Oryzias latipes: one gene and its partner. The protein of the gene in region 2 binds, or shares a complex with, the protein of the main gene of each other region. Links are inferred from orthologs where the notes say so. Each region holds a gene or a part of one and is shown on either strand. Other genes may lie near its edges.

Region 1 (9,936 bases), on a different chromosome or scaffold from region 2:
AAATTGTATTCATAAACTTGTTTCAGGGTGTTTATATTAGTCAAATTTCTAATTTGATTGCTTAAATTGTCTAGCATGGTCTGCATACAAACTAGCTGTAAGCATCCAAGTCTATTTCCTTTTTTTTAATTTAAAAGTTTTTTGAGGAGAAAGTAATCTCCCTGTTATTCTATTCCTGTTCTCAATTGATCTGTTTGGTTGGTAACATATCATTTTAGCTTATCTATCATTTTGCAATTTGTTTTGATTGCATTGATGTTCAGCCTTTTTTGCAAAGGTTTATAGGATATTTAAACATCTTTTTTTTATTTTATCTAATGCACATAGATACCAACCATGAAAAGTCTATTACCCGGGTTTAAAAATATAACAAAAACAGAATTTGGAATTTTTAAATATTCTGTTTAGTTTTCTCCTGTAAAGGAGTAAGGTGATGTGCTCAAGTTTTATTTATCTGTGATACGAGTAAGTGTCTATATAAAAGTTATAAAATCAATTTAGAAACATTTTTGTCATTTCTTCTGCTCATTTCTAATATTTTAACAGGGAAGTAAGTTAATTTGGATATCTTAATGTTCCTCTGTTTTCTAATTTATAACAGTCATTTATTGTTGTGAGAAAACATTAAAGTTAAATTTAGGTGGATAAGAATATACATCTGAACACTTCATGTCACCATTTCCTCAACAAGAACTGCAGAAGCACTGTAAAAAACAACTACACCCCTGACTCAGCAGTTTTTAAAACCACCTTTTAGAGCGGACCTGAGCCAAGGCAGATGACTCCCTGCCAGTGTTGAAATCAGATCTACTCTGATTGGTAATACAACTATAAACTTTGTGCTGGCTGACTTTCATCTGACTCACTGTTCTCAGATGTTATTTACTGTCTATGCCATTGACTGTATAACAGAACTGGACCTAGTGAATGAGACGTCACCCATAGAAAATGACTTACTTCTGGCTCCAACCAAATGAAGCCAAATCAGCCGCCATTTTTTCTTGATACAGATTTCAAAAGATTAGAGTTAGACGATGTCAGTAAGCAGTGATTGGGCCGAGTCAGTATGAGTCGACGCTTCTATGGCAACCACTCTCACCAATCAGGAGTGAGCTTGTTGGAAGTCCACACCCTCTTCCAATGAAAATGGACTCGGGAAAAATCTATCAAACATTTTGAGCGTTCAATGTGGGGGCCAGCGGGCACCACATGTTTTTAGTGCGTAATCTAATCGTTCAGCTTAGAATTTGATTAACTTACAATGAAGAAAAACATATCATAAAAAAGTAGGGATGAGTTGATGCAATGGATTAATCAATCTGAATCAATCTAAGCTTAATAAACAAACATTTACCTAACGCATAACAGCAGCAAAGTCCGCTAGCTTGATGCTAACGTATAAGGGAATTCCCCATAGGACGGCTAATGCTAACACTCATTTGACCTAAACATACATTGCTGACTAATTGAACAGCTTTATATACTCACAGGCAGGACTTTTCCAAACTCTTTTAAGGAAAGAGTTTAAGGAAACAAACTGATTGTTTTATTATTTCACTAATACATTTCACAGTAGATTTCCAACAAACTAATTCCTGACTGGCAAGAGTGGTTACCAAAGAAACATTGACTCAGACCAACTCAGACCAATCACTGCTAAGTGATGTTGTCGAGGCGCATATGGCGATATGTGCCATATAAAAAACGGCGACTGAATTGACTTATTTTGCTGGAGCCGGAAATAAGCTATTCTCTATGGATGACGTCACACTCGCTCCGATTAGTTATCATACAGTCAGGTGAAATCCTTTTATCTCTGTTCCTGTAATTTGTGTTTATCTTTGAAACAAAAAATCAGCCTCAAAACAAAGAACTTATCTTCAAAGAACAAAGATCTTTGCTGGTTTTATCACACATGGATTTATGCGTACGGTGGTTTGTTATGCGACACAGATTTCTGAAGGTTATGCCAACCCTTTTGCAGCAGAGGATCACACCCACTGTTTTCTTTCCTGCAGACTCAGTCTAAGCACCCCCTGATTTATGAAGCAATTTTGTGGCAAATCCAGTTTTATATTGAGTTACATTCAGAAAGGGGTCCTGAAATAATGCGAACAAACAAAACCTTCACAGCCATATTTCTTTTCCTTTGCTGCTGCCTGGGGAAAACTTTCAACAGCTTGAACATTTTGAGATTTTTTTTAATTAGAAAAACTTAAAACTCTGGACTTTTAACATAGGTTACAGGATTTGAACACTTACCCCCCTAGGAACTGATGTAAAATTAGTTGGTTGTGGAACATATGTTAAATGTCCAGCACTGCATTACAGAGAGCTGGACTTTCATTTTTCCTCATATCTCTAGATAATTCAAATTCAAGAATTAGAATGTTTTTTGCTGCTGCTACTCCACTGATTGAACTTGTTTCCAGCTCCTGCTCAAAGTGGCTCCTCGACCCTTTGACTATATGAAGCTGACTTTATCTTTTAGGCAGATTAAAAGAAACGCCAAGAGACGGCTTGTACAAAAAAAGCTTTGGCGTTTCATTTTTCATCAGCACCGTCTCTATATAACCTTATTTATAACCCTGATTTGGAGATGAACATGCTAAGCTCCCTTGTGTTATCAGTATTTTTTAGAATTTTTTTTCTTATAGATACAGTCCCTCGATTTCCATTATATGGTAGCACAAAACCTAATAAAAAAAAGCCTCATGCTCCTGGTTGTCTTTGACCTTTCAGTTTCTGCTCCACAATGGTTATTTTCAAAGACATTCCAGGAATCGGCCTACCTGTTAGTAGCTGCTCTTCAGGTTGCTTATGAGTTGCTTCTATATTTAGGCTAATAGAAATGTTAAGTCGCTCTTTAGAAATGCCGTCTCCAGGGGGAAAAAGGAAGCTCTCAGGCCTATCTTTCATCCATGCATATTATCAAAAGAGAAGCAGAGAGAAATTTGATTAGTCAAGCACTCTGGGGTTGCTATTGGATTAAGACAATTATCTTATCTTATGAATGAGACAAATGGCTTTGCACTTTGGCTTTATGATCTGGCACACTCATTCAAAAGGAAACGGTAATGCCTTCTTTGAAAGTGAAGAGAGAAATGTCCTCATTTATAGTCTTGTCTTGGTTATAAATTATTTGCATTATTTTCTGCACTCAGACGTTCAGCAACGAAACATTGGACCAATCGTATGGCATGAACGATGCATTTTGCATGTAAACAAGACAACCTGTTAAAATTCTACTCAATGTCAACTTCATTGACATTAAAGATGGTAAAGATGGATCTGAATTCTAAAATATTCAGACTACCACATCTGGCACTAGCAGCCACTTATTGGTAAAAACTTCAGCCCTATTCCTAATTGCTCATTTTTAACTTCAGCAGATTGTCTTCAATTTCTCATCGTGTGAAAATACTTTCAGTATTTGCTACATTTGCTCCAGAGTACGTCTAAAATGGTTCAAAAAGTAGCATCTGTTGAGAATTATAGTCAGTACGGTATATCTTTTAACATGTTAACCTTTTTTCATTTTTTTCAGGTACAAAGGTTTCATCAAGGATTGTCCAAGTGGGCAGCTGGACGCTGTGGGATTTCAAAAGATATACAAACAGTTTTTTCCTTTTGGAGATCCTACAAAGTTTGCTTCCTTCGTCTTCAATGTGTTTGATGAAAATAAGGTTGGTATTTATTTTTATTAGTATTTGTATTTTTTGTAACATTAAACTGAATATTATTGGATAAAATTGTGCTAAAAGGCCGACGTGAAGATCTGGACTCAATCAGCCTCTTTGTCCCACCAGTGGTTAAAATACAATAAAATGCCAGCATCTTTTGGCAAAGCATCTAATTTAAGTACTTTATGGTTAATGTATTCTTAATACTGGAGCATTCAATATTGTTTATACTTTTATTTTTAGTAAAAAAGTTCAGTCAAGTATTAAAATAGTTTGCACTTTAAACTTTCAGTGATTGACACCTAAAAACACATCCATGTTCATAAAAAGCCTTAAAGACTCACTCTTGTTTTTGGTGTTCTTAACATGTTTTTTTGGCATTTTTATGATGATAGAGGACGTGTATTAAGAAAAATTAGATTCCAAATTGTTTTCTGAGCATTTCTATATTCGAATCGTTGTGAAACAGGAGCCGACAAAAAAATCCAGTTTGTGACAGAAAATACACTGTGTGGGTCACAAACTCCAAGTGAGAAAAGGAGTGAATTTCTAATGATCTGCTACAGAAACTATGTCCTAGAAAGCGACATACTGCAGGTCTTTTGATTTTGTCTAAAAACTTCAAAATCTTAATTTAAATAGCACTGGAAACAGTTTTAAAATATATCAAAAAATGATAGAACTGGGTTTTTAACATTTTCTGATTTGCAACATCATTAAAGAAGCCTTAAAAGAATTACTATTTAATCTAATCTAATCTTTTTTTTCTCATATTAAATTATGTTTCTTTTTCACATCACAAAAAAAAAGACGACATGATCATAAAAATCAAATCTGCATTTCATAACACTTGATTGGTTTAGTGAGTGGGGATGAAAAATGAAAAATGATCCTCCAAATGAATTTAGTGCTTCAGAATGTCAGCGTGACGGATGATTCGATTTGCCAGGCTGTCGGAGTTTGGAGTTGAGGATTAGTCACAGCATCAACTGCGCCATAAATGTCCAACTCTTCAATTTGTGTAGCAAACTCTTCTCTGAGACGTTTTTTTTCCTTCTACCCACAAGTGTTTGTGCTTTTGTGATGTCAGGCTGTTGCCGCTTTTATGATCACACCAAGGATTTCAGGATGTGATGACAAAGGAAGTTTTCAAAGGCAGGCTGTTATTTATACATTCGTTTGAGGTCATCTCCCCCGCTGTCCTTCCATCATCACAGCTGGACGTGATTATTCAAACCACTTATAAATGGTTTGTGTGCAGCAGCACAGCAAGCCTCTGGATATGTATTGACATGTGTTTAGAGGCTTTGTGTGATGATCTGAGTGATCAGACAACCTCCTCATCAGATGCTAACTGTGACCCTCATTTGGAATCAGACACCCCGCTGTAATAGAATGCATTGATCTTAATAGTCATTATGGTTTATGTAATCGGCTGGGAATGACCTCAGCATTTTTCTGGCAAGATGAATGTCTGCGAGATATGCATTCAGCTGACTTAAGCAGCCTGGTCCCACCGGTACTTTTCTTTTTTAAACTTAAAGTGGGGAGGACCACTGAGGATTACAGGTAATCAGCTGGTGTTTTGGAAAAGAAGTAACCTTTAATTATGATGCAGAATCTTTTGGTATTTGTTGAGAATAAAGTCCTGATGGTTTTCATTTGTTAATTTTCCTAAGAAACAGTTGTTTTCACTTTGAAAATGATTAATTTGTTCTTTTCTTTTTGGGTTGCATTTGCTCTTTTTTAAAGTGTTGTTTCCAGTTGTCAAAGACAGATGTTGGTGTCACTTAAATGTTCCTCTCATGGATAATCACATTCCATATGTGCAGAACTTTTTTTTTGCAAAAAAATAAATAAAAAGAGCACATTTTCTTGAGGGAATTTTTGTGAGACATAATACGTGTGGCCTAAAAACGGGAAGTCAAAGAAATTGTTGGACAGCTTAATCTCCTGAGCTCATTCACAATGAAAAATAGTTGTTGTTGTTGTGATGTTCATGTTTAAATGAGCCACTAACATCCATCTAACTAATGATCAGAGATGACATGATTCAGGTCTTAGAGAGAACCAGGTGCAGGGCAGAAAATAGCTTGGAGAGAACGACTGACCCTGTTTCCAGCAGAAATCCAGTGAGGATTCTCACGAGGAGCAAGGAGGAGTTTAAGAAAGCACAGCAAAAGAAGTTGGGAGCGCAACAAATTAAGACATTTATGTTTTTTTCCTTTTTACAGAAAAGTCTTTCTTGAATTCTTTTTTTTCTTACATAGGATGGACGCATCGAGTTCTCAGAGTTCATCCAGGCCTTGTCAGTGACCTCCAGGGGGACTCTGGATGAGAAGCTGAGATGTAAGAAGATACTTCCTCTCCTATCATTTTTATAAAAAAAGAATCACAACTAAGCAATCTGCTTGAAATAAATGTAAATATCTGTCTTTTTGAAAGCAAGGATTATAGTGTTCCCTCGTTTATCACAAAGGTTATGTTTAAACGGTTAAATCTGCAAAGTAGCGTTATAGATGTTTTAAGGCTGTAAAGCCCCTCACTACACACTTTATACACTTTTCTCTCTTGTTTAAACTCTCAAAGTTCAATCAAAGCAGAAAAATGAGTCCAGTATTATAGAATTAAAACAAAAACCTGACCATGATCGAAGATTTATGTAAATATGGCTAAATGATTGTGTTTAAGGAGAAGATTGAGTCACAAGGTCTACAGCCAATCAGGATGCAGAGTGCAAAAAATGTTACGCTTCCCAGCTTGGCAAGCAGGGGGCGGAACACTACTAGAGCACCTATTTATTGATAGAAGATTCATAACACCCCAGGAACTTCAAGAGAAACATAGAACAAATAACTTCTTGGAATATCAGCAACTTAAATCTATTATTACTAAAAAGATAAATACAAAGACAATGACTGCGAAAGCTGAAACGCAATATAGCGAGAGACCAGTGTATACGTCAATCTTTTTTATATTGCAGATAGAAATGTTTTGTTGAGCTTGTAATTAGTCTCTGACTGCCGCAGCAAATGTTTCCACCGAGATATTTCTATTTCTATATATTTTTCTATTTTTATTTCTATTTTACCATATTTTTCTTCATGGAGAGTTATATGTTTTGACATTTTGTCTTTTTTTTCTACAGGGGCTTTTAAATTGTATGACCTCGACAATGACGGCTATATAACTCGTGATGAAATGCTAAACATCGTAGATGCCATATACCAAATGGTGGTAAGTTTAGAAACACATCCCCTCTGTTTACCTGCACTAGCATCACGGTTCACAGTGTAATGATGTGATGTCTAAGGGAAACACTGTGGAATTGCCAGAGGAGGAGAACACACCAGAAAAGCGAGTCGACCGCATTTTTGCAATGATGGACAAGGTTAGTATTGAACTAGACCTGACAAACAGCAAATTAAAGCAGAGAATTGCATCAATTGGTCCGACCTTTTAGAGGTCAGTATGAGCGCTTGACAGCATCAAGTGCAGTATTCATTGAATCACTTGTTTAAGAGTAATAGGACTGAGTGTAGCCTTACTGGCACCCTTGGGGCTCTAATACAGACACTGTTAAACTGAGAGCTCTCTGTAGCCATTTCAGCAGCATCACTTACACCACCTGCACTTATACTCATCTCCACTATTAGCCTTTACTGCCCACTCCATCTGCCCCCAGACTCTTTGCAGCTCTGGTAATAGATGAAACAGTATTGTCATATTAGATCCGCCTGTAGAGCTAACTCTACAGCCTGCACTATTTATTTGTCATTTTGTTAATGGCCAAGGCAGGATTTTTTGGGGAAAAAAAACAAATATATGAGAATAAAGTCGAAAAATGTTTAAAAAAAAAAGTCTAATTTTATGAAGATAAAGTCATAGCCTACAATGCTGAGAAAAAGCTTATTACTGTTCTGAAAAAAAAGTCAAATGATTTCTGAAAAAAGGCAGAATTATCAAGAGATGTCAACAATTTATGAGAATAAGGTAATTAATTTTACAAGGAAAAAGTCTTTTATTTTTGAAAATAAAATAACATTTTTAGCTTTTAAAATGTTTCAACACATTTCGAACATTACCCTTTTAATCAATGTTGCAAACAAATCAGAGAAATTGGATGGAGATCTGCTCCAAAAATCTTGCTGAATTTGCTTTACCTTTGTGTTGTAATAATAATGATAATAATAATACATTTTATTTCAAGCACCTTTCAGGTCACCCAAGGTCACTGTACAAGGTTTAAGAATAAGAAAAAAACAGAATAAAACATCAATTGTAAATATACAACTTTATTTTCATCAAATTCCAACTTTATTTTTGAAAAAGCACAACTTTTTCCGTGCAAAAATTATGACTTTTTAAATCTTAAAATTATTATTTTGTTCTTGAATAATGTAGATTTTTTTTAATTATTGCACAACTTTATTTTTGTCAAGTTTTGGCTTTTTTCTCAGAATGTATGACTATTCTCATGTATTTATGTTCTTTTATGGTTTCACCAAACACTTGTTTTATTTTAGAGATCAGCCAGTTCTACTTCAGACAGAAATCCCTTTTTGCCCTCTGCTGGCATATCTTTGCTAAACATTTTAATCTTGAGGGTCATTTTTGCTCCTCCTTGCAGAATGCAGATGGAAAGCTGACTCTGCAAGAGTTTCAGGAGGGCTCGAAGGCAGACCCCTCCATTGTTCAGGCCCTGTCTCTATATGATGGACTTGTGTAGGAATGGAAGGTGAGTGACAGATTGATGGACTGGTTCATGCATGCTTCTCATTGGGAATGCCATTTCCTAGTCACGCCTGAGTTCAGCTCTAATACACTCTAATGCTTTAAAAAAAAATCAGAAAAGATATTCAGTCCATGTGCTGAAACTCAGGGGTGTAAGCCAATTTCTGCTCTCAGTTTGTTCTTATGAATTATTCAGATGGCCCACTTGTTTTCTGGCAGCTTGATAGTCTTGCAGTGATGAATGAGGAGGGAGACATCCCTATCCTCTCACTGCCTGATGTCATATTCTGGCTGCTGACAATTGTTGCTAACATCCTGCTCAGCGTTTAATCAACTGTGAAGTGAGCTTATAAAGACATGTATCTTCAGTAAAGCTGTTTAGCCATTGTCTACCATGTTATAAGCACTCATGTATGATCACACTTTTCATCATGACTGTTTAAACTAATACAGTCTCTTCTCTTCTCAGATGGGACCATTTAGCATCCTCCTGCTGATAGTCAACAATCCAGCACCATCACCCTGCAGCAGGCGGAAACGCTTACTTAACTTTCATCACCAAGGGAGCGCACTATAAAGCTTTGTCGCATGGCCAAACGACACCTGTGCTGTAGCAGTTCATCCACATCGTTGTTGAGGACAGAGGACAATGACTTTCCTTGGCGTGAAGGAGGAGACAAACTTGTCAGCACACGTGCCATCGTTTGCTTCTGCAGCTATGTAGCGCCATGCACATTGCTCAGTGCTGGAGCATCTCTAGAAGGGCAGCGTTGGTCCTGGACGATCCGGAGAACTGAATCCCCACAGAGATGTGTCTTTGCCGCAAAGCAACAGCTGCCACGTGTGGAAATGTGTAACCCCCACATGATGGCATGATGGACTTCAAATCTCACTCCTAAAGATGATGATAAGAAAATGAACTTAAAATTATGAAGCAGTGTGGGGGTATGTTATATATTATAAAAACAAAAACAAAAAAACAATGCTAAATTATTTTCTGCCCTGCTGCATTTATGAGTATTTCCTCATAAAAATGGAATGGATCGTTATTTTTTATCAGAAGTGTTGAAATGTATTGCACTGCATTTTGCCATGGTTATTATTGTGTCATTTCTTTTCTCTTCACTTCCTTAGGTTGAGTTTTCCCTTAAGACATTCTGGGTTTTCTTTAAGGAGGAATGTTTAGGTAGCACAGAGTTTAGTAAGGATTCCTTTACTACGTTTACCGTCTGTGCTCCCTGTTGTTTCTTTCTTCCTTCCAGCACGACTGTAGTGTCTGCCCTGTTGCACGGTTACATCCTGAACTTACAGCTTTGCATCTGAATTGAGTCTGGGAGCATCACACTCCTCTCTCAACAACATAAAGCCCTGGTCATTGTGAGGAAAAGGAGGGCATCAATTCTGGTTGTAAAGCTTTTGTGAGGGCTGTGGCTGTAATTGTCACCTTAGTATTTATACTGTGTGAGACCAGAGCATGTGCCCAAACCTTTGATTTCTGATTGGAATGATTCTTATGCAG
Region 2 (10,698 bases):
CTTTGATCCTCAGGATATGTGGAACAGTGGCTGCCAGATGGGTTGGTACTCCCCACTAAAAACCCAGACTAAAGCAAAGATGATTGAAATTTGAAAAAATAACTCTCTGAAGCTACGTTCACACTGCAATGTTCAAGCAATCACTTTCAATCAAAAGTCTAAGTAAATGTGTATATGGGCATTTATGGCTTCCACATTCAAGACCGATGCGTTCACGTGTCACTACGCACATTTTTAGGACCGTTTTCGGGCTCTACATACAAAACGCGCAGCCACTGAACATCGGTTGTAAATTAAACCAGATCAAACTTGAACCAATCAGGGACTTGGATTTGGAAGTGACGTATAGATGGTGTTTCTTTTAATTCACAGAAGTGCCAACTGTTAAAAACATTGATCATGGAGGAGAAATTAATAATCGCGGTTTGTGCCCGGCTGAAATTATACGATCCCAAGTCTTTCATTTATTGGAATAGAGTTGTGGAAAAAAAAAACCTGAAGCAAGATTCATGTGATTTGCACCACTTCAACATTTCTCACTCCCATCTGTAGGTACATTCGGTAGTGATCAGTAGCAAAAGAAAAAGGAGAAGCCCCTCCTTGCCTGTCTAGTGTGAACACTGTAGGCAAGAATGTGCATTTAGCGGGTTCTTAAAACGAGCATCACATGCCCGGTGTGAACCTGTCTTTACATGAATGTGTCTTGCAGTTACCTTGAGGCTCGTATGGCCACCTCATGGGGTTGTCATGACAATGGAACTTATCATTGTCGAGTGTGTGTGTGGTAAATGTATCTGTAGTATTTGTAAGGAGAATGTAAGTTACATGCACTTATGACATACGGGTGATGCTGTTGTACGCTGCCCTACGCCACTCTCCAGTTGTTTGTAAGGTGGGAGTACTGGCTTTTTACAGACCACACGCAAATGCTACACAGATGGGGTGTGCATGTGATGCGTAAGTCCACGTAAGACGCCTCGAGAGTGCCCATACAAAATTTACCTTAATTGACCAATTTCTTAAATTCTAACAGTCAGGCTGCACACAAACGGGCGCACACTTATCACCTAAACGGCGCTAACGGGACCCTGCACAGTGCGCAGGATTTGGGGGTTGAAAAAATAAAAAAACTCTTTATAACATGTCAGCATCTCACCTATTTCACCCGTATTTGACCCCATGTGTTGCATAAAAGTTCCTTACGACCTGTCACTCACAGCATGCCTGTAGAAAATAATTTACATGCACTTTATCGCTCTACTGTTTACTGAGCGGTCTACAATCTTAATATTTTCTATGGGCCACCTGTGTGCCCCGTATAGGTTTGCCCATTTTTCGGCTGCAGGTCCGCATCCACCCTTAAGGGCAGTTGTGACTAAGGTTCTCTTGTGGGTCTGTTTATAATTAGATCTGTTGGTACTGTTGCTGACTCCAGTCTTCTCTCTGTGCCGCTCAGTGGCTCTCAACTTTCAGACACCTGGGGAGCAGATGGACCTTAATCAGGGTCGCTTCCTAGCCAACGGTCGCTGTGGCTACGTGCTCAAGCCCAGCTTCTTGTGCAGCCCTACGTCCAACTTTGACCCAGAGAACACCGGTGGAGGCCCCGGCCACACACCCACACAACTGACTATACGAGTGAGCTGTTGCATGAATCTGTCGATTAGCAAATAAAATGTTGAGATCTAATTCATTCATTTATTTGTAATGTTGCATCCACATTGTTGTCTTCTGTTTACATGTGTGGATCTTTAAATGCAATAAAAACTGAGCTCTACTCTGTTAATCCTTGGGATGGGGGGGTCAGAAAGTCAGTGAAGTCTAGGATTTTAAAAATGCTTTTTAGCAGGCCCGAATTTAGCCAGCCCCACACTGGATATGCCGAGACTTTGGGTTGTCAAAGACCTAAAATGTTTAGAAAACCATGCTATGGGTTCATCTAACCTTAGATCTTTTTTATGTCTATACATTTTATAGTGAATGCCTTCCTGACACTATGCTCTGCATTTACCCGGCTTGGGACCTGCACATTATTTATGTATTCATTTATTGTTCTGTTTCTTGGAGTTTTTTTTTTAATATAATTTTTATTTCCTTAGTTAATTGAGGATTTTTGTGGGTGATGATGGCACTTATGCCCCCCCCCCATGCCCAAATCCAGCCTTTTTAAACTGTTTACCGACCAATTTCTTTTGTTTTTTGTAGGTATTAACTGCACAGCAGCTGCCAAAAGTCAACACAGAGAAGGCGAGCGCCATTGTGGATCCGCAAGTTTCTGTAGAAATTCATGGAGTCAGTATTGACAATGCAAAAAACAAAACCCATCGCATTGACAACAATGGTAATTTTGAAATGTATTTATGTGTATTAAACAACATAAATACAAGAACCCTTTAATTTTAGCTGCATGATACTGATTTGTGTGTTTCATAATACAGTTATTTTTTTATACAATATTAATGTTTTTAAAACATTAAGACAAAAATATGTATAACAAAGTTTCCTTTGACTTGTTTATTATGCAGCATAAACATTTTTCTTCCAATGCTCAGCTGTGATTGGGTTCTTTAGAAGTGTTTTGACAGCTCTTTGGCGCCCCCTGCAGGCTTCAACCCACGTTGGGACTGCACTCTGGGCTTCCAGCTTCAGGTCCCTGAACTGGCTCTGGTGCGCTTTGTGGTGGAGGACCACGATCACACGGTCAAAAATGACTTTGTGGGGCAGTTTACTCTGCCTTTCACCAGCCTACGCACAGGTAGCTCATAAAGATTTGTCCTGTTCAGATGAAAAAGAGAAAATTTTCTCTTTGGTGTCACAACTGACATCTTCTTTTTGTCTCAGGTTATCGACACATCCACCTCCTGAAGGCAGATGGCTCCAGTCTGTCTCCAGCTACACTCTTTGTCCATGTGAAAGTGAGCCACAGAGGACCTCCAGTTCAAACCCTGTCAGAGCGTATGGCCATTGCTAAGAGGAAAGCGTGAAACACGCCTGAAAATGGAGGAAATTCTGCTTCTTTTGCCAACAAAGACCTTTAGAAGCAGAAACGCTGAATGTGAAGACTCCCTCAAACTTAACCCGTCCAATTTCTGTTCAGCCACTTAGTTTCTCAGATGCACTTTGAGACTTTTTTTGGTCTATTCAGGGCAAAAATGAAGAAGAAAAGGAGCCTTAAACACCCTTATAGGATGCTTAAGTGTTTAAACGTACATAACCTCCATGACAGAATTATTATTTTGACATTTTAGTTTGTTTTGAAAACGTTTTTAACTGTTTTGTTAATGTAAAGATGAAGAGTACCTCAACAGAAATGATACTTATATGATTTTTACCACAAAGATGTGTAATCCCTGTTTTTTTTTAAATATATTTTAATTTAACCGTTTTAGAGATTTGTTATTTTATTACTGTGTAACCCAAGTTTTTCAAAAGATTGAACAGAATTTTCTTAAATCAATCTTACTCAATACTTTGAGTACTTTAGCACTTTAAACTTACCTTTGAAAATTGTTTTAACCATCATGCTTAGAAACCACCGATATGCAAGTACTGGTTCGGTATCATTTTACAAATGTATTAAATTCTGGCCTCAAGTCTTGTTCAGCTCTTTGTTATCAGGAAATTGTGGATTAAGACGCAACAGCTCCCTTAAAGCGTCACTGAAGGGAATACTTATAGTCAGAGATAGAAAAAGAGAAGCACTGAGTTTGCCATAAATACAATGTATATGCCTTAATTGTTTTTGACTGAATCTGTGATGAGTGAACAGTTTGCAGTGTTATACCTCAGTGCCTGTGTTTGTATCATGTATCCAAGACTGTGTTTTTGTAAAGCAATAATAACACCACAAAAATGAGACTCGACCTTTCTTTTCATTGTTTTATTCTCGCATGTTCCTAAATAATTATAAGCTATGATTTCATGTTTAAAAAGTTATTTTTTTGCTGTGCACATTTTAATGTCAAAGTTAGAGATTTGTACAAAAATGTTCAATATGAAACAGGTCATAAAACTACTGGTTTATAATTAAGAGGTACACGGCAATAGAGGGTTAGATCTGTCGCTTTACAGCAAGACCTCATCTGACTCCCCTATGGCTCCAAAATGTGTGGGATTGCTGTCCTTGTGCTTTCTTTTATTTCATTTCAACCACAGTTAAAAAGAAAAAGTTGAAGTGGTTGTTTTTCTATGCATATCTCCATTCAAGCTGATAAGCACAAATTTAGGCTATATAAAATAGCAAAAGAGTTCACACTATAAAACTTGTTATCCAAATTTATGGTTGTAAGAAGCCAATCTCTATTTAATCCAATGTTCTCTTAGAAATTGTCAACCATGTGCTTCTCCTTCCTGCAGAAATTACATTAACTAATACTTAATTATAAATAATAATTTTAAAAAATTACATTTATCATAACCACCCTAAGCACCACATTTGCAAAGCAAAATTCTACAGTGGAAGTAAGAAAAAATATTAATGCCTATAATTGATGTAAAGAAAAAAGTACTTTTTAAATGTCTGTTTGATTTTCGATAAATTTATAGCAAAATTCATTGTAGTTTATTGAGTATTTAATGCCTGGCCATATTTTAACACATCCTTTGAAACAATTCTACATTCTAACTGCTTAATGTTTTTTATATTCTATTTGTAGTTTTTTCATTGACATTGAAAATGTAAATGACAAACGTAGGTCTGTAGATTTTTCTACTTGTTTCAGGAATCTTCCCTAACTTCAATTTGCCTTAATCAGATTTCCTTCCATGCCATTCCACTCTGAATGGGTTGAAGGCACGGCTCTGATCACATGACTCTAATGTGTGAAAGAAAAGGAACAATTCACACAGCTGACAATACAGCCAAAATGTTATAAGCGTTTTGGCAACTTATGCGACATGGTTATTGAAAGTTGAACGTCTGTTTTACGTGTCGGTGTAAAGGGACAGAGTAAGAACCACTTTTCACTTTGGGCCAATAGCAGCAAAGCAGGTTTAAAGGCGTAGAGGACACGCGGTGGTCCATCGCTTCCTGGTTAAAGATGGCGGATGAGAATGAGACAGCACCCCAGCAGGAAAAAGAAGATGTAGAAGACCACGCACACTGTAGCGATTGCGAAAATGACGAGCATCCCTTTGACGATGGGTAAGAGTAGCATCATTTTCAGTTGTTTGCGTGAATTAAGCCATTGTATTTAGCTGTTTTTCAAAGCTTATGCTAACCAATGCCTTGGCTAGCGGTCGAAGGCAGGGGTTGTCGCCACTCCCACTTGTGATATTTCAATTGGCTAATAAAAGTGTCGGTTTATCAGTACTGGATTTTGATTGGCTGAAACTTTATTTGGATCGCCATGTAGGCGGTGCTTCGTGACGAATCTCCTCAGCCATGCTAGCAAGGCGTAGGAGACAGAGTTGAAGAGAAACATTAAATGGGTAATAAACGAGTCCCGTATTTAAAACTTATCAGATTTGTATAATTTTAACAACTTACCCAATGAATTACCATTTAATGCAATACATCGCTGGTTAGTTCAGATGCACGACAGAGATGTAAGCGATCAAACTCCAACTGACGTTTAACGCGCTAGCTCTAGCATGCTAACGTAGCTGTCAAACCCATTGTCTTAGGCTGAATTTCGTGGCTAAATCTTTATGAAAGGACGCAAAACCTGCATGTTTTCTTGCTCTCGCCTTGTTAATCAAATAGCTTTGGGAAGTTTTCAATTCATTGTCTGTATTGCTAAAACATGCAAGTCCCAGAAAACCTTTGACGAATAGAAAAAGGCTTGGGAATATACTCGTTTTGATGATTTATACAAAGTAAAAATCCACCGTGCTCCTGTGGAGACATCTTCTCTATTTTAATTATTTGTGTTTGTGCAGACAAAGAAAAAGCGAAACCAGGTGGGTCGTCTTTTTATGAGATCCTGCGTTAGGCTCAGACAGATGACACCCATTCAAGAGGAGCTAAATCTTAGATCACTGAAGTTGGAAAGAATAGCGACAGATTGAATGTCATACACTTGCACTATCCTGCTGTTTGTAGGATATTGTCGTGACTTGTTGAAGTGCTGTGAAGCAAATCACTTTCTGTCCTGGCAGCATTTACATCCCACCTTAACACAGCCTGGAAACAATGGATGATTCTGCCTGTCGGTTGAAATAGAAGCCCGGAGAACAAACTATTGAATGTTTTGTTGACCATTGTTCTAGTTGCTCGGTGACCCCTTGCACATACGTGTGTACGCATGCGTCGATGCCACATACTCTTCTTCTGTAAGTCATGTGATTCACCATCTGCACCGGGGTTACAAGTACTTGCCCTGCCTCCTCTCTTGAACACTAATGAGATAATCCTCTGTAAGTATGTGGTAGATGTGTGGCTCTGTGGGCTCCGAGTCTTAAATGAGGTTCATTAAGCACATAATGTTGGTAAATAATGTTTGAATTGATTTAATATACTATATTTTATCTCTTCATTTCATTTTTATCAGTTAAACCAGTGACTTGCATTTCCTTAAGCTAAGGGTTTATTTTCCTCACCTTTCCCAGAGCATCTGCTGGCATTATCTATCTAATAGTGTCAAGCAAAACAGAAGTGGGAAAATACATTTGTCTTTATGATTTTGAAGTAACTTTTGAATGGAGAATTTGGGAAATACACAGGTGGATACTGGTTTTTTGATTGAAGACATTCATTTAGAAATAAGTGGATGTCTTATCTTGTTCCAGCGATCGGGGTTTGGGTGACGACACCGGCACCAAGAAGAAGAAAAAGAAACAGAAAAAGAAGAAGAAATCTGGTGCCACCGAAGCAACTCAGGACCCACTTGCAAAGGCAAGAGTGAAATCACTTTTTTTTTTTTTTTAATTTTAGTTTCAAAAGTAATGATCCAAAAGAAAGAAAGTAATGTTTGTTTAAATATGACTCACTCTGATGAAAACTATGTTTTTAACATGTTCTTGTGTTTTTTGTTTTTTTTTCTGAAGATGGAGATCGTTTCTTAAGAAAATGAATTAGAAAAGAAAATTATTTTATTCATTATAACAAGCAGAAAAAAGCAACATTTTCAAAAAGAGAGCATTTGTGATGTAGAAGATATGCTGAGTGAGCTATAGGCTCCCTGCTCCGCTCCATTCTGATGCATCCACTTGTAGACGAATAAATCCACGAACGTCTTTGTTTTCCTCGTCTGTGCTGGCATCTGGCTCAAAACCGTACGGCAGGATAGCTCAGGTATTGCTCGCCATTTTTGTTGCACCATTAATGTTAGGTTGGGTGTGTGAGGGGCTGTAGGCAAGCAGGACAGCGTCTAAACAGATGGATGACTCGGGCTTACTCGGTGCCAGTGGTCACGCTCACGACTTAGAGGTGAATTTCTAATGAACTACTGCCGCTCTACAGAAACTACGTTATAGAAAATGAAAGTTTTTTAATCATAATTGAAAGACCACTGGGAAGGCTCTAACATTAGATCATAAGATGATTGGAGTGGGTCTTTAAGATCAAATTTTATGTGGAAGGTTCATTTAATCTTGGATAAAAAGTAGATCTCATTTTGAATGTCGTAAGCTTCTCTGTCTGCTGCTCCCCTCTTTTCATTTAATTTAATAAAGATCTTTTTATTTGGTCTTCAAAAACAGGTGAATTCATTGCCAGCTGATAAGCTACAGGAGATCCAAAAGGCCATCGAACTCTTCTCTGTGGGCCAAGGTCCAGCCAAGACCATGGAGGAAGCCACTCGGAGAAGTTACCAGTTCTGGGACACGCAGCCCGTTCCCAAGCTAGGTGTGAGAAACATCAGAGGTTTCAGAACTTAAGGTCAAGCGAGACATATGTCATAATGTGGCGTGTTATTTTGACTTCACAGGGGAGACGGTGACGTCTCATGGCTCTATTGAACCTGATAAGGACGCCATTCGAGAGGAGCCCTACAGCCTCCCGCAGGGCTTCAGCTGGGACACCCTCGACCTGGGGGATCCCGCTGTGGTACGAGAGGTTGAATGACATATGAAACAATACCTGGGCATTCAATCCTTTTCAATTAAAATAATAATCTACAGTTCATATTATTACTTTTAATAATATTAATCCATTTAGATTCAATCTATGCTTTCATTTTTTTAAGCAACTTGGATATTTTTGCCGTTAAACTGCCGAAATATGTTAAACTTGATCTTTTATTTAGACAATGCAAGAGCTTATATATCATAGGCTGCACATCTTAAACTCTCAGAGCTTTTAGTATCTACGTGGGTTAAAAAAATGTAACTTTCAGATTCAAGTCTTCTCTTTCAGAAGGGATTTTCTGAATCTGAAACGGTTAACTGCTCCCTTGTGCTTCTCTAAAACAGCTTAAGGAGCTTTACACTCTTCTCAATGAGAACTATGTGGAAGACGATGACAACATGTTCAGATTTGACTACTCTCCTGAGTTTCTTCTCTGGTAACTTTTCCTAATTTATCATTTTGCCTTTAAAAAAGATCCAACATAATTTTAAAAATAGGTGTGTTTATAACAAAGAGCAGATGGACGTTCTGTGAAGGTGACTGGCTGCTGTGTTTCTCAGGGCGCTGCGACCTCCAGGCTGGTTGCCACAGTGGCATTGTGGTGTGAGGGTGAACTCCAACCAGAAGCTTGTGGGATTCATCAGCGCCATTCCAGCCAACATTCGCATCTACGATATGTAAAGAGATGAAATCTTGACCTGAATGAATGTCAATATTTCTATCACACCTCCCATTTTTGTCTGAATGAGTTGTGGGACTGTTTAAACATGAGAAATTGTCTAAAATGTTTTGTTTAAAATATTTTTTCTTTCTTTTTTTTTTGCTCTAGAGAAAAGAAAATGGTTGAGATCAACTTCCTTTGTGTCCACAAGAAGCTTCGCTCCAAACGGGTCGCTCCAGTTCTGATCAGAGAGATCACTAGAAGGGTCAATTTGCAGGGCATCTTCCAGGCTGTGTACACAGCCGGAGTCGTGCTGCCCAAACCTGTAGGCACCTGCAGGTTTGTCATGGAGAAGCAACTTTTTCTTCCTCATGATGTTCCTGAGTTTATTTTTGCCATTTTTCATTTGCAAAGGTACTGGCATCGCTCCTTGAACCCACGGAAACTAATTGAGGTCAAGTTCTCCCATCTGAGCAGGAACATGACTATGCAGCGCACAATGAAGCTTTACCGCCTGCCCGAGGTTAGTTGTGGCACAAATTAAGCAGCAAATCTAAGAAATTTGTTCTTTTTTAATCAGATCTTTAAAATGTAAAATACCACGTGGTCGTTTTCACCTGGTACTGGGGTAAATATTACTTTTTTAAAAAATTTTTTAGTATTCCATGATTTGCACACTTTATAGGGAATGCTTGATGTTTTTCTTTTTCTACTGATTATTTAATGTTCTATTCAATAGTTGCACAATAAATCTCAAACGGAACAAAAAAATTAATTCCATTAGAGATTTTTGTTGTCTTTTTTTACAGCAAAATCCACAGAAATGGAATAGATTTCTACAGAAATCTGTAGAGGACAAATTAAGAATAACCTGAATATTTCCCAACCACTGCTGCTAAATGACCTCATTTTGGTGTCTACAGAGGACATTTGGGGCTTTTCAATGATGTCAGATGCAAATGGGGGGGATTCTGGGAATTGTAGTTTTTGGTAGATTAAAAAAAAAATTAGAGTGTGCTATTTTTTTCCTCTGGTAGTCAGATAGTTAAAGGAAACTTTTAAGATGCAAGCCCTTCCCTTGCCCCTCCTCCTTTAGGCTCCAAAGACTTCTGGTCTGCGACCGATGACCAAGAAGGATGTGCCAGTGGTGCATCGCCTTTTCCGTGAATACCTGAGCCAGTTCAACCTTGTGCCTGTCATGAACCAGGAGGAGGTGGAACACTGGTTTCTGCCCCAGGAGAACATTGTTGACACCTATCTTGTGGAGGTAAATGGTTGTTGAGAAGGTTTTAGCTCTGCCGCTATGGCACTGATCCGTGTGATTGTTTTAATTTTTTTTATTTTACCGTCTGACAGTCGAATGGAAAAGTGACGGACTTCCTGAGTTTCTACACGCTGCCCTCCACCATCATGAACCATCCTGTGCACCGGAGTCTCAAAGCAGCATACTCTTTTTACAATGTGCACACCACCACCCCACTGCTTGATTTGATGTCTGATGCTCTCATTCTGGCCAAATCGGTTTGTTCTTCGTCATTTCTTTAAAAAAAAACAAAAAAAAAACACTGCTGCTTAAAGATTATGCACACAAGAAACTGATTTTTGTGTGTGTTTACAGAAAGGCTTTGATGTCTTTAATGCACTGGATTTAATGGAAAACAAGACTTTCTTGGAGAAGTTGAAATTTGGCATCGGTGATGGGAATCTACAGTATTATCTGTACAATTGGAAGTGTCCCAGCATGGGGCCAGAGAAGGTAGGTCTTAGCTTCACACCATGACCTAGACGTACCACTTTCTGCAGATGGGCATGAAGTGACTGTTTGCTTTTTTTTTTAAAGTCCCAGTCGGGTCATCTTTTGATTTATTTTCAAAGTGTTTTCAGTGGTGGTTTAATTATGATTAAAACAATCCTTTTGCAGATAAGGTTGTCAAAATGTTGCAGGCTTTTAATTGGAAACATTCACATTATTTTATGTCAAATGTATGCTTTCGAAGCAAATTTAGTTTGAGAAAAAAAATGAAGAAATTAA

Evidence for each region.
Region 1: the proteins of glycylpeptide N-tetradecanoyltransferase 1 (region 2) and ncs1 are in contact, whole or in part, in a crystal structure (PDB 5O9S), measured with the Homo sapiens proteins. The link is inferred for Oryzias latipes from reciprocal best matches to the Homo sapiens genes NMT1 and NCS1. Residues at the interface, in NP_066565.1 of Homo sapiens: Tyr180, Val181, Glu182, Asp183, Asp184, Asp185, Met187, Phe188, Arg189, Phe190, Tyr192, Asn246, Thr282, Ala283, Gly284, Arg295, Tyr296, His298, Ser300, Lys310, Phe311, Ser312, Tyr401, Leu403, Ser405, Tyr420, Gly468, Ile469, Gly470, Asp471; in NP_055101.2 of Homo sapiens: Gly2, Lys3, Ser4, Asn5, Ser6, Lys7, Leu8, Lys9.

Annotation. Positions count from the first base shown.
Region 1 is NC_019867.2:19,603,358-19,613,293, reverse strand, and holds part of ncs1 (neuronal calcium sensor 1), read left to right. Parts: intron 1-3,547; coding exon 3,548-3,686; intron 3,687-5,953; coding exon 5,954-6,032; intron 6,033-6,831; coding exon 6,832-6,920; intron 6,921-6,996; coding exon 6,997-7,074; intron 7,075-8,313; coding exon 8,314-8,412; 3' UTR 8,413-8,421; intron 8,422-8,886; 3' UTR 8,887-9,936. UniProt on the Homo sapiens protein: Neuronal calcium sensor, regulator of G protein-coupled receptor phosphorylation in a calcium dependent manner. Directly regulates GRK1 (RHOK), but not GRK2 to GRK5. Can substitute for calmodulin. Stimulates PI4KB kinase activity.
Region 2 is NC_019866.2:5,209,825-5,220,522, reverse strand, and holds the start of glycylpeptide N-tetradecanoyltransferase 1, read left to right. Parts: upstream 1-5,007; 5' UTR 5,008-5,036; coding exon 5,037-5,140; intron 5,141-5,354; exon of another isoform or gene 5,355-5,427; intron 5,428-6,726; coding exon 6,727-6,832; intron 6,833-7,291; coding exon 7,292-7,366; intron 7,367-7,638; coding exon 7,639-7,783; intron 7,784-7,865; coding exon 7,866-7,984; intron 7,985-8,349; coding exon 8,350-8,441; intron 8,442-8,565; coding exon 8,566-8,682; intron 8,683-8,834; coding exon 8,835-9,005; intron 9,006-9,080; coding exon 9,081-9,189; intron 9,190-9,762; coding exon 9,763-9,933; intron 9,934-10,022; coding exon 10,023-10,187; intron 10,188-10,284; coding exon 10,285-10,422; intron 10,423-10,698. Other genes in the region: plcd3 (1-phosphatidylinositol 4,5-bisphosphate phosphodiesterase delta-3), read left to right, coding at 1-41, 1,457-1,635, 2,203-2,338, 2,603-2,752, 2,839-2,981.